Sus scrofa: one gene and its partner. The protein of the gene in region 2 interacts with the protein of the main gene of each other region in a biochemical or structural test. Links are inferred from orthologs where the notes say so. Each region holds a gene or a part of one and is shown on either strand. Other genes may lie near its edges. The genes, in order: HNF1A and DYRK1B.

The links.
Region 1: of the proteins of DYRK1B (region 2) and HNF1A, one has a biochemical effect on the other in vitro, tested with the Homo sapiens proteins (2 studies listed by IntAct, with this or other methods). The link is inferred for Sus scrofa from reciprocal best matches to the Homo sapiens genes DYRK1B and HNF1A.

The regions. Positions count from the first base shown.
Region 1 is NC_010456.5:40,882,008-40,885,820, reverse strand, and holds part of HNF1A (hepatocyte nuclear factor 1-alpha), read right to left. Parts: coding exon 3,803-3,813; intron 3,665-3,802; coding exon 3,463-3,664; intron 2,762-3,462; coding exon 2,570-2,761; intron 382-2,569; coding exon 260-381; intron 175-259; coding exon 30-174; intron 1-29. UniProt on the Homo sapiens protein: Transcriptional activator that regulates the tissue specific expression of multiple genes, especially in pancreatic islet cells and in liver. Binds to the inverted palindrome 5'-GTTAATNATTAAC-3'.
Region 2 is NC_010448.4:48,308,292-48,311,697, reverse strand, and holds part of DYRK1B (dual specificity tyrosine-phosphorylation-regulated kinase 1B), read left to right. Parts: intron 1-594; coding exon 595-714; intron 715-810; coding exon 811-999; intron 1,000-1,373; coding exon 1,374-1,521; intron 1,522-2,533; coding exon 2,534-2,820; intron 2,821-3,406.

The DNA of each region.
Region 1 (3,813 bases), on a different chromosome or scaffold from region 2:
GGGAAGGGGGCCAAGGAAAGGTTGCTCACCAGTGGGGCTGGCACTGAGCCTATGGGCGGGCTGCAGGTGCTGGATGCCAGCAGGGTCCTGGCTGGGGATGTGGATGGTGGTGGCCTGAGATGCCGGCGTGTGAAGCCCAGACTCGCTGGAGGCCTCAGTATCCGAGGTGAAGACCTGGTGGAAAGGCAGCCTCCTGAGCCCTCCTGGTTGTGCCCTGGGGCAGGGCCCGGGGAGGGGCTGGGGCAAGCCTGGGCCTTACCTGCTTGGTGGGCGTGAGGCTGGCCAGGGCGCTCAGGTTGGTGGTGTCGGTGATGAGCATGGTCTGCGGAAGCAGGCCCGTGTGGGTGTACTGGGCCACCTCGGGCTTGTGGCTGTAGAGGGCTGGCCGGGAGGGGGAGGGGAGGGTATATACATGGCACCTGGGCACCCCTCCCAGGAGGGCCTCAAAGTGGGGGCTCAGGGAAAGTAGGGTGTGGGCCTGGTGAGCAGCCCTGTGGGACAGTAGTTGGGGACTCAGGGTTCATTTCCAGGTCTGGGAGCTCCAGATAGAAGAGTTGGATGCGCTCCCCAACTACAGGGGCCTGCTTTGCCTAGTCTGGTGGAGAGGAGTCTGGGGGAGTCCAGGAACCCAAACCCAGCTCCTTCACGTGGAATTACCAGGTGTGAAAGGGAACAAGAGGCACAGGTGCTGTTGTCCTAAGCACCGACCTTGGAGGGAAAGGCTGGCGCCCCCTGTTGGGGGGTGGGGGGGACAGCATATCTCTACTCCAGGACCCTCTCCACAGTGTAACCCAACCTTTCACCTGTAGTCAGTCCCCAGCCCCACAAAAACACAGATGCCAGCAGAAAAATAACACAAATCGCATGGATAAAAATCTACCCACCCAGGAGTTCTCTTTTGGCTTAGCAGGTTAATGATCCCGTGTTGTCACTGCTCTGGCTCTGGTTCCCACAGTGGCGCAGGTTTGATCCCTGGCCCAGGAACTTCTGCATCCCATCGGCTTAGCCCCCCCCCCAAAAAAAAACCTCAATGGTTTCCAAATGAGACAGCTTGAGGGGGATGGGGGAGGAGGCACTGAGGGTTTGGGAAGGAAATGCTATAAAATTTGGTTGTGATGATCGTTGTACAACTATAAATGTAATAAAATTCACTGAGTAATTTTTTTAAAAAGGATGTAATGTAAACCTATATACAGTTAAGGTTAATTGCAAATAGAGATTCACAGATCAGTGGTGGTAAAAGAGGTGCTTCCTTTGTGTTGTCTGGTTTTTTGTGCTATAGCATGTCTTTATTTTTTTTTTCTATCATAAATTCCTTGTCTAAATTTCCACTCTTTAGCCCAAGTTTGGTCTCTAGTAGAGCAAATGTACTTCCCGCTGGAGTGAAACCAAGCATGCATGAGGCTTCTAGTTTAAACCACTTTCCTAAGTTATCCTAGGGCCCCACCTAGCTCTGACCTTGGTTTTTTTATTTTTTTTATTTTTATTTTTATTTTTTTTTGTCTTTTGTTGTTGTTGTTGCTATTTCTTGGGCCGCTCCCACGGCATATGGAGGTTCCCAGGCGAGGGGTCGAATCGGAGCTGTAGCCACCGGCCTACGCCAGAGCCACAGCAACGCGGGATCCGAGCCGCGTCTGCAACCTACACCACAGCTCACGGCAACGCCGGATCGTTAACCCACTGAGCAAGGGCAGGGACCGAACCCGCAACCTCATGGTTCCTAGTCAGATTCGTTAACCACTGCGCCACGACGGGAACTCCGGACCTTGGTTTTTTTAAATTTACCTTTATTTAGCCCTTTATTACCTATATTTTTTCATGGTGTAGTGTCTTCATCTTACTAAATTGAAGGAGTGGTACTTTAAATTCAACTCACTGAACATTCGTTGATAATGTACATTGTCCTAAAACTTTTACTGTTTTGTTACTTTAGGATCAATATAGTGTATCAGTATGGAGACTTTAATACCTACTGGCTTTGGAAATTTCCTCTCTGTTTACATTAAAATACATGCAACTTGGTAAAAAAAAACAAAAAAAACAAAAAAAACAAAAACACTCATCCACCCACATTCACTCATAAATGGTGCCCTCAACCAAATACACAGATGTTCAGGTCCACAATCCCTTATCCACGATTCCAAATTCCATAAAGGTCTGAAAACCAATGAGTTTTCATCAGTTTGGCACTAGAGCTCATTTGGTGGCAAAATCTGACCTAAACCTAATGTGAGGCTATGTGGGAATTTATGTTAACTTCCTTCTTAGAATTCTACCTCGTGCTGCAGGAATCCCGGTGTTTGATGACAGGATGTCGCCCACATACACTCACACAAACCCACATGTGCACGAGTGCACACACACACACACACGGCCACACGGATTCACACACTGAAACATTCTGGCCCACAGACACTCATCCTAGCACCCGCAGAGCCCCTGTCACAGAAGCAGTCATGCTTGTACACCCACAGGCCACAGTGTCTGCTAAACAGAAGCCTTCCCCTGAGCTTATCACCAGCCATCCTCCCCCACCACCTCCCCCAGTGTGGGACCAAGGGGCGCTCACCGTGGGGACTCTGCAGCTGGGCCATGGTGGCCATGAAGGGGCTCTGGGCCACGTGGCTCTGCACGGAGGGCATGAGTGGCTGCTGGTAGGAAGGGTGCAGTGGCTGCGAGAACTGGACGGGCTGCAGGGTGGTCAGGCTGCTGCCCATGCTGTTGATGACCGGCACGCTCTGTGCCTGAGTGGAGGCCAGGCCTGGAGCAGGAGGGGCAGGAGTCGGCCAGGCCTTCTGCCACCTCCTTGGCTTCCCCAGACCCAGCCCAGACCCCAGGGGTACCATCCCTCCCTCCTGGGGCCAGTGGATTGGAGGAGGGAATGAAGTGATCAAGAGACACTCTTGCACTAAGAACTGCCACTAAGTTATAGCCCTGGCAAGTGGCTCCATCTCTCTGAGCCACTGGCTCGTTATATGGATGGGGTGGGGAGTGTGTGTGTCAAGCTAGGTTCCCTCGAACCCTTGGGTTTCACAGTAGTACACAGGCCCTGGGGCCTAACTTTCTCTACCCCTCTCTGGGCAGCTCCCTGTCTGTCTTACATATTGAGCTTCTGCATAACCATTCCTGCAAAGAGTCTTTATGGGCTTAAAAAAAAAAAAAAAAAACCTAAACTAAAACCTAGAAAACTTCAGTCCCTTTTACCCCGCTGTTTTGCCATAGCTGTTTTACCTTCTAAACTGTAAATATACACTGTATATAATTTACGTGTTAGGCTGATTGTCTGCCTCCCCACTTGGGTGACTGAGATTTTGGTCTGTTCAGTTCACTTGTGTATCACTAGACGAGCGCAGAGTGGGCCCTAATAAATACATGAATGAAGGAGTCCCAGTTTCTCTCCCAGCTCCTGGATCCTGTGGGAGCACCACACCCAGATGCCTCCCTCCTTCCCCACCAGCTTACCAATGACCAGGGTGGAGGCGCCTGTGTTGGTGAATGTGGGGCCCAGGGAGGCAGGCTCACTAGGCCCGATGGCCATGACCCCGGGAAGTGAGGCCATGATCAGGTTCTGGGGCTGCTGGTTGAGGCCTGGGGATGTCTGCTCCAAGCTGTGCAGCGCTGTCAGGGTGCTGACAGGGGGCAGGGGGCCCCCAGTGGCTGAGACCTTGGAGGGAAAGCCAGACTGAGTCAGAGTAGGGCCCCACCCTGCCTCCCTAGGGACTGCTGCAGAATCTCCCAGCCAGGGGAAGATGGGAAAGGAAAGGTCTCCCCAGGACTGAGAGGCTGGTGAGGGGACACTCACCAGCTTGGCTT
Region 2 (3,406 bases):
CCTGGGGATGCAGGTCGGGAGCTTCAGGGGTAGAGACTGTTAGGTTTTGAACCGTAGAATCTGAAGCGGGTTGGAGCGGGAGGTCCAGGGTGCTGGATCCAGATCCAAGACCCTTAGGATGAAAAACTGGGCAGAGCTGCACAGGGTGGAGGGTGAGGGTTGGGATGGCCCCAGGGAATGAGGGTAAAGCAAGATAGGGGCCCTCAAGGGGGAATGCCCAGAAGGGGTGGTTCCAGGTGAAGGACTGGGCGGGCAGAGCCCCAGGTTTCTCTCAGATCTCCCCCACGGAGGTTTAGGAAAGAGCGAAAGGGATGGGATGAAAGGTCCGGGGTAAACCGTTCACTCCGTCCCTCTCTGAGCAAATTTCTAATGAACATCTGTGTGCCAGGCCCTGTTCCAGACACGGGACATAAAGCAAGAAGGAGATCAAGTCTCTGTCCTTGGGGAGTTTCCATTCTAGCGGGGTGGTCAGACCATGACCACATGGTCCTGCCTGTGGTCACGAGGAACCAGCTGCCCAGATAGGGCTCCCGCTTGAGGTCGGAGGGGAAGGCCTGGCCTCAGTGCCCACCTGGCCCCCCGCCCTCCCCCCAGGTACTGCCTGATGTGCGGCTGCTGCCGCGGAGGTTGCCCCTGGCCTTCCGAGACGCGACCTCGGCCCCGCTGCGCAAGCTCTCCGTGGACCTCATCAAGACCTACAAGCACATCAATGAGGTGGGCGGGGTGGGGGCCCGGGCTGGGTGCGGAGGGGTCCTGGCCTGCCAGCACAGGCCGCTCACCAGTCCGCATCTCCTGGCCGGTCCCCGGCAGGTTTACTATGCGAAGAAGAAGCGGCGGGCCCAGCAGGCGCCACCTCAGGACTCGAGCACCAAGAAGGAGAAAAAGGTCCTGAACCACGGTTACGACGACGACAACCATGACTACATCGTGCGCAGTGGCGAGCGCTGGCTGGAGCGCTACGAAATCGACTCCCTCATTGGCAAAGGCTCCTTTGGCCAGGTGTGGGATGACCCCGACCCCAGCCGTGCTCCAGGGCTTGGGAGGAGCGGGCACCACTGGTGCTGACCCCCACAGCCAGCGGTTCAGTGGCTTCGCGTTTCGTGCTGGGCCACTCACCAGCACGGTCTGGTTTCCCTGTGCCACGGTTTCTGTAAGAGCGCCTCAGTAACAGGCCCTCCACGTAAGGTTGTTGTGTTTTCTCATGTCCAGCGTTGACACGAGTGTCTGACGATTGGCGAGCTTGCAATTTGGAAGTATTAGTATCGTTGATGGTGGTATGGGTGGGTCTCCTTGGCTGGAGGGCGACGAGTGGTACCTGGCTCTGTGCCTCGCGCCCCTTTGCCCTCGTCTTGTGACGCGCCCTGCCCTGGCAGGTGGTGAAGGCCTATGACCATCAGACGCAGGAGCTGGTGGCCATCAAGATCATCAAGAACAAAAAGGCCTTCCTGAACCAGGCCCAGATCGAGCTGCGGCTGCTGGAGCTGATGAACCAGCATGACACAGAGATGAAGTACTACATAGGTGAGGCCCGCCGCAGGGCTGTGTGGGGATGAGCCACCCTCAGTACCCGAGGGGGCTGCTGTCCTCAGGGCAAGGTGTGGTTTGTAATCCCCCACATCAGTGATTTCTCCTGCCACCCTCACAGTTTTTACCCTATTCACATGACAAAGCTGGTCAAAGTTTATTGGGTGCTCTCTAAGGGTCAGGCTCTGTTGTAAGAACTTTACGTAAGTTTTCCACAGCCCCATGGGAAGGAGCATCATTGCCCACAGCTTGGAGATGAAGAAACAGAGGCACTTAGGTGCTGTCACTTGCGTAAGATCGAGGTGTTTGTACTCAGTAGAGCTATGATTTGGCCAGACAGTGGATTCCAGAGCCTCCACTCTAAACGCCTCTGCTGGGTTTTTTCCTCTTTCCTGTACTGCTTCCTCTTAAGAAAAAGAAAGTGGATTTAAGGAGTGTGTTTCTTTTAAAAGGAAAATGCACCTCCTTACAGTAAATGGAAAGCAAGTATCCTTTGTCACAAAATAAACAGAACTGAGACTAAAACAATGTTATAAAATTAAACGGGGAAGTGTAGGGATGGTGTTAAAGACCCATCAGCACCGAATGGAAACTTTCTCTTTGGTTTAAATCAGAAAATGTGAGAGACTTGAAAAGCGAGCTAACTTAACTTCCTGTGTGAATCAGATTATAGACATAAAAACATCCTCAAGAAACAAAACAAAAAACCTCCCAGGGGGTTCCGTGGTGGTTCAGCGGGTGAAACATTCAGCGTTGTCGCTGCAGCCACCGGGTCGCTGCTGTGGCACAGGCACAGGTTCGATCCCTGGCCAGGGAACTTGCTCCTGCCATGGACACAACCAAAAAAAATAAGTAAATGAAATAAAATCCTGGCTAGCAGAACAGTTTGGCCTGTGCTCCAGAAGCAGAGACAAAGATCTCTTTATTATTGGGTACCCCAGGCCGCCACCGGCCCTCTCTCAGCCTTAATTTCTTCTCCTTCGGCCCATTTTCGCCTCCTTGCCAACAGTGCACCTGAAGCGGCACTTCATGTTCCGGAACCACCTGTGCCTGGTGTTCGAGCTGCTTTCCTACAACCTGTACGACCTCCTGCGCAACACGCACTTCCGCGGCGTCTCACTGAACCTGACGCGGAAGCTGGCGCAGCAGCTCTGCACGGCGCTGCTCTTCCTGGCCACGCCTGAGCTCAGCATCATTCACTGCGACCTCAAGCCCGAGAACATCCTGCTCTGCAACCCCAAGCGCAGCGCCATCAAGATAGTGGACTTTGGCAGCTCCTGCCAGCTCGGCCAGCGGGTGCGGCCCGGGGCGGGGCTAGAGGTGTGGGTGTGGCCAGAGAGTGGGCGGGGCCGACGGAGGACCAGGACGGGATTGGATGGTCGCGTGCAGCGGCCCGAGGGTAGTGCTTGGGACAGGGTGTCTGCAAGTACAGAGGGTGGGGTCATTGGGTGAAGAGGGTGATGGAGAGGGCCTTGGGGTGTCCTGCCCGAAGGACAGCGAAGAGTGGAGCCCGAGAGGACGAAGCCCGGGGCCAGTTTTGAGGCTGCCAGAATGGGGGAGGGGGAGGAGGAGTTGGGTGCCTTTGAGCCTGGGGTGGCACTTTGCTCCGTTTGTTTACCTTGTGCTCTTAAAGCTGGGGAGGGAAGAGGACAGGGCTCGTCAGCTTTGCAGCTTCCGGTGAGAAGGCCTTTGAGAAGACGCTGGTAGTGGTTTGAAAGGGTCTGGATTGGAAGGGTGGGAAGAGGCTAGGTCTGCGGATTGCCGGATCCTGGTGACCCATAGGGGCTCAGGGTCAGGCCAGGGGATGGAGATCGGGATCAGACTAGGCCAGCAGAGACTCCTGAAACTGATGAGTGAGGTAGTGGCAGCAATCCTTGGGAGG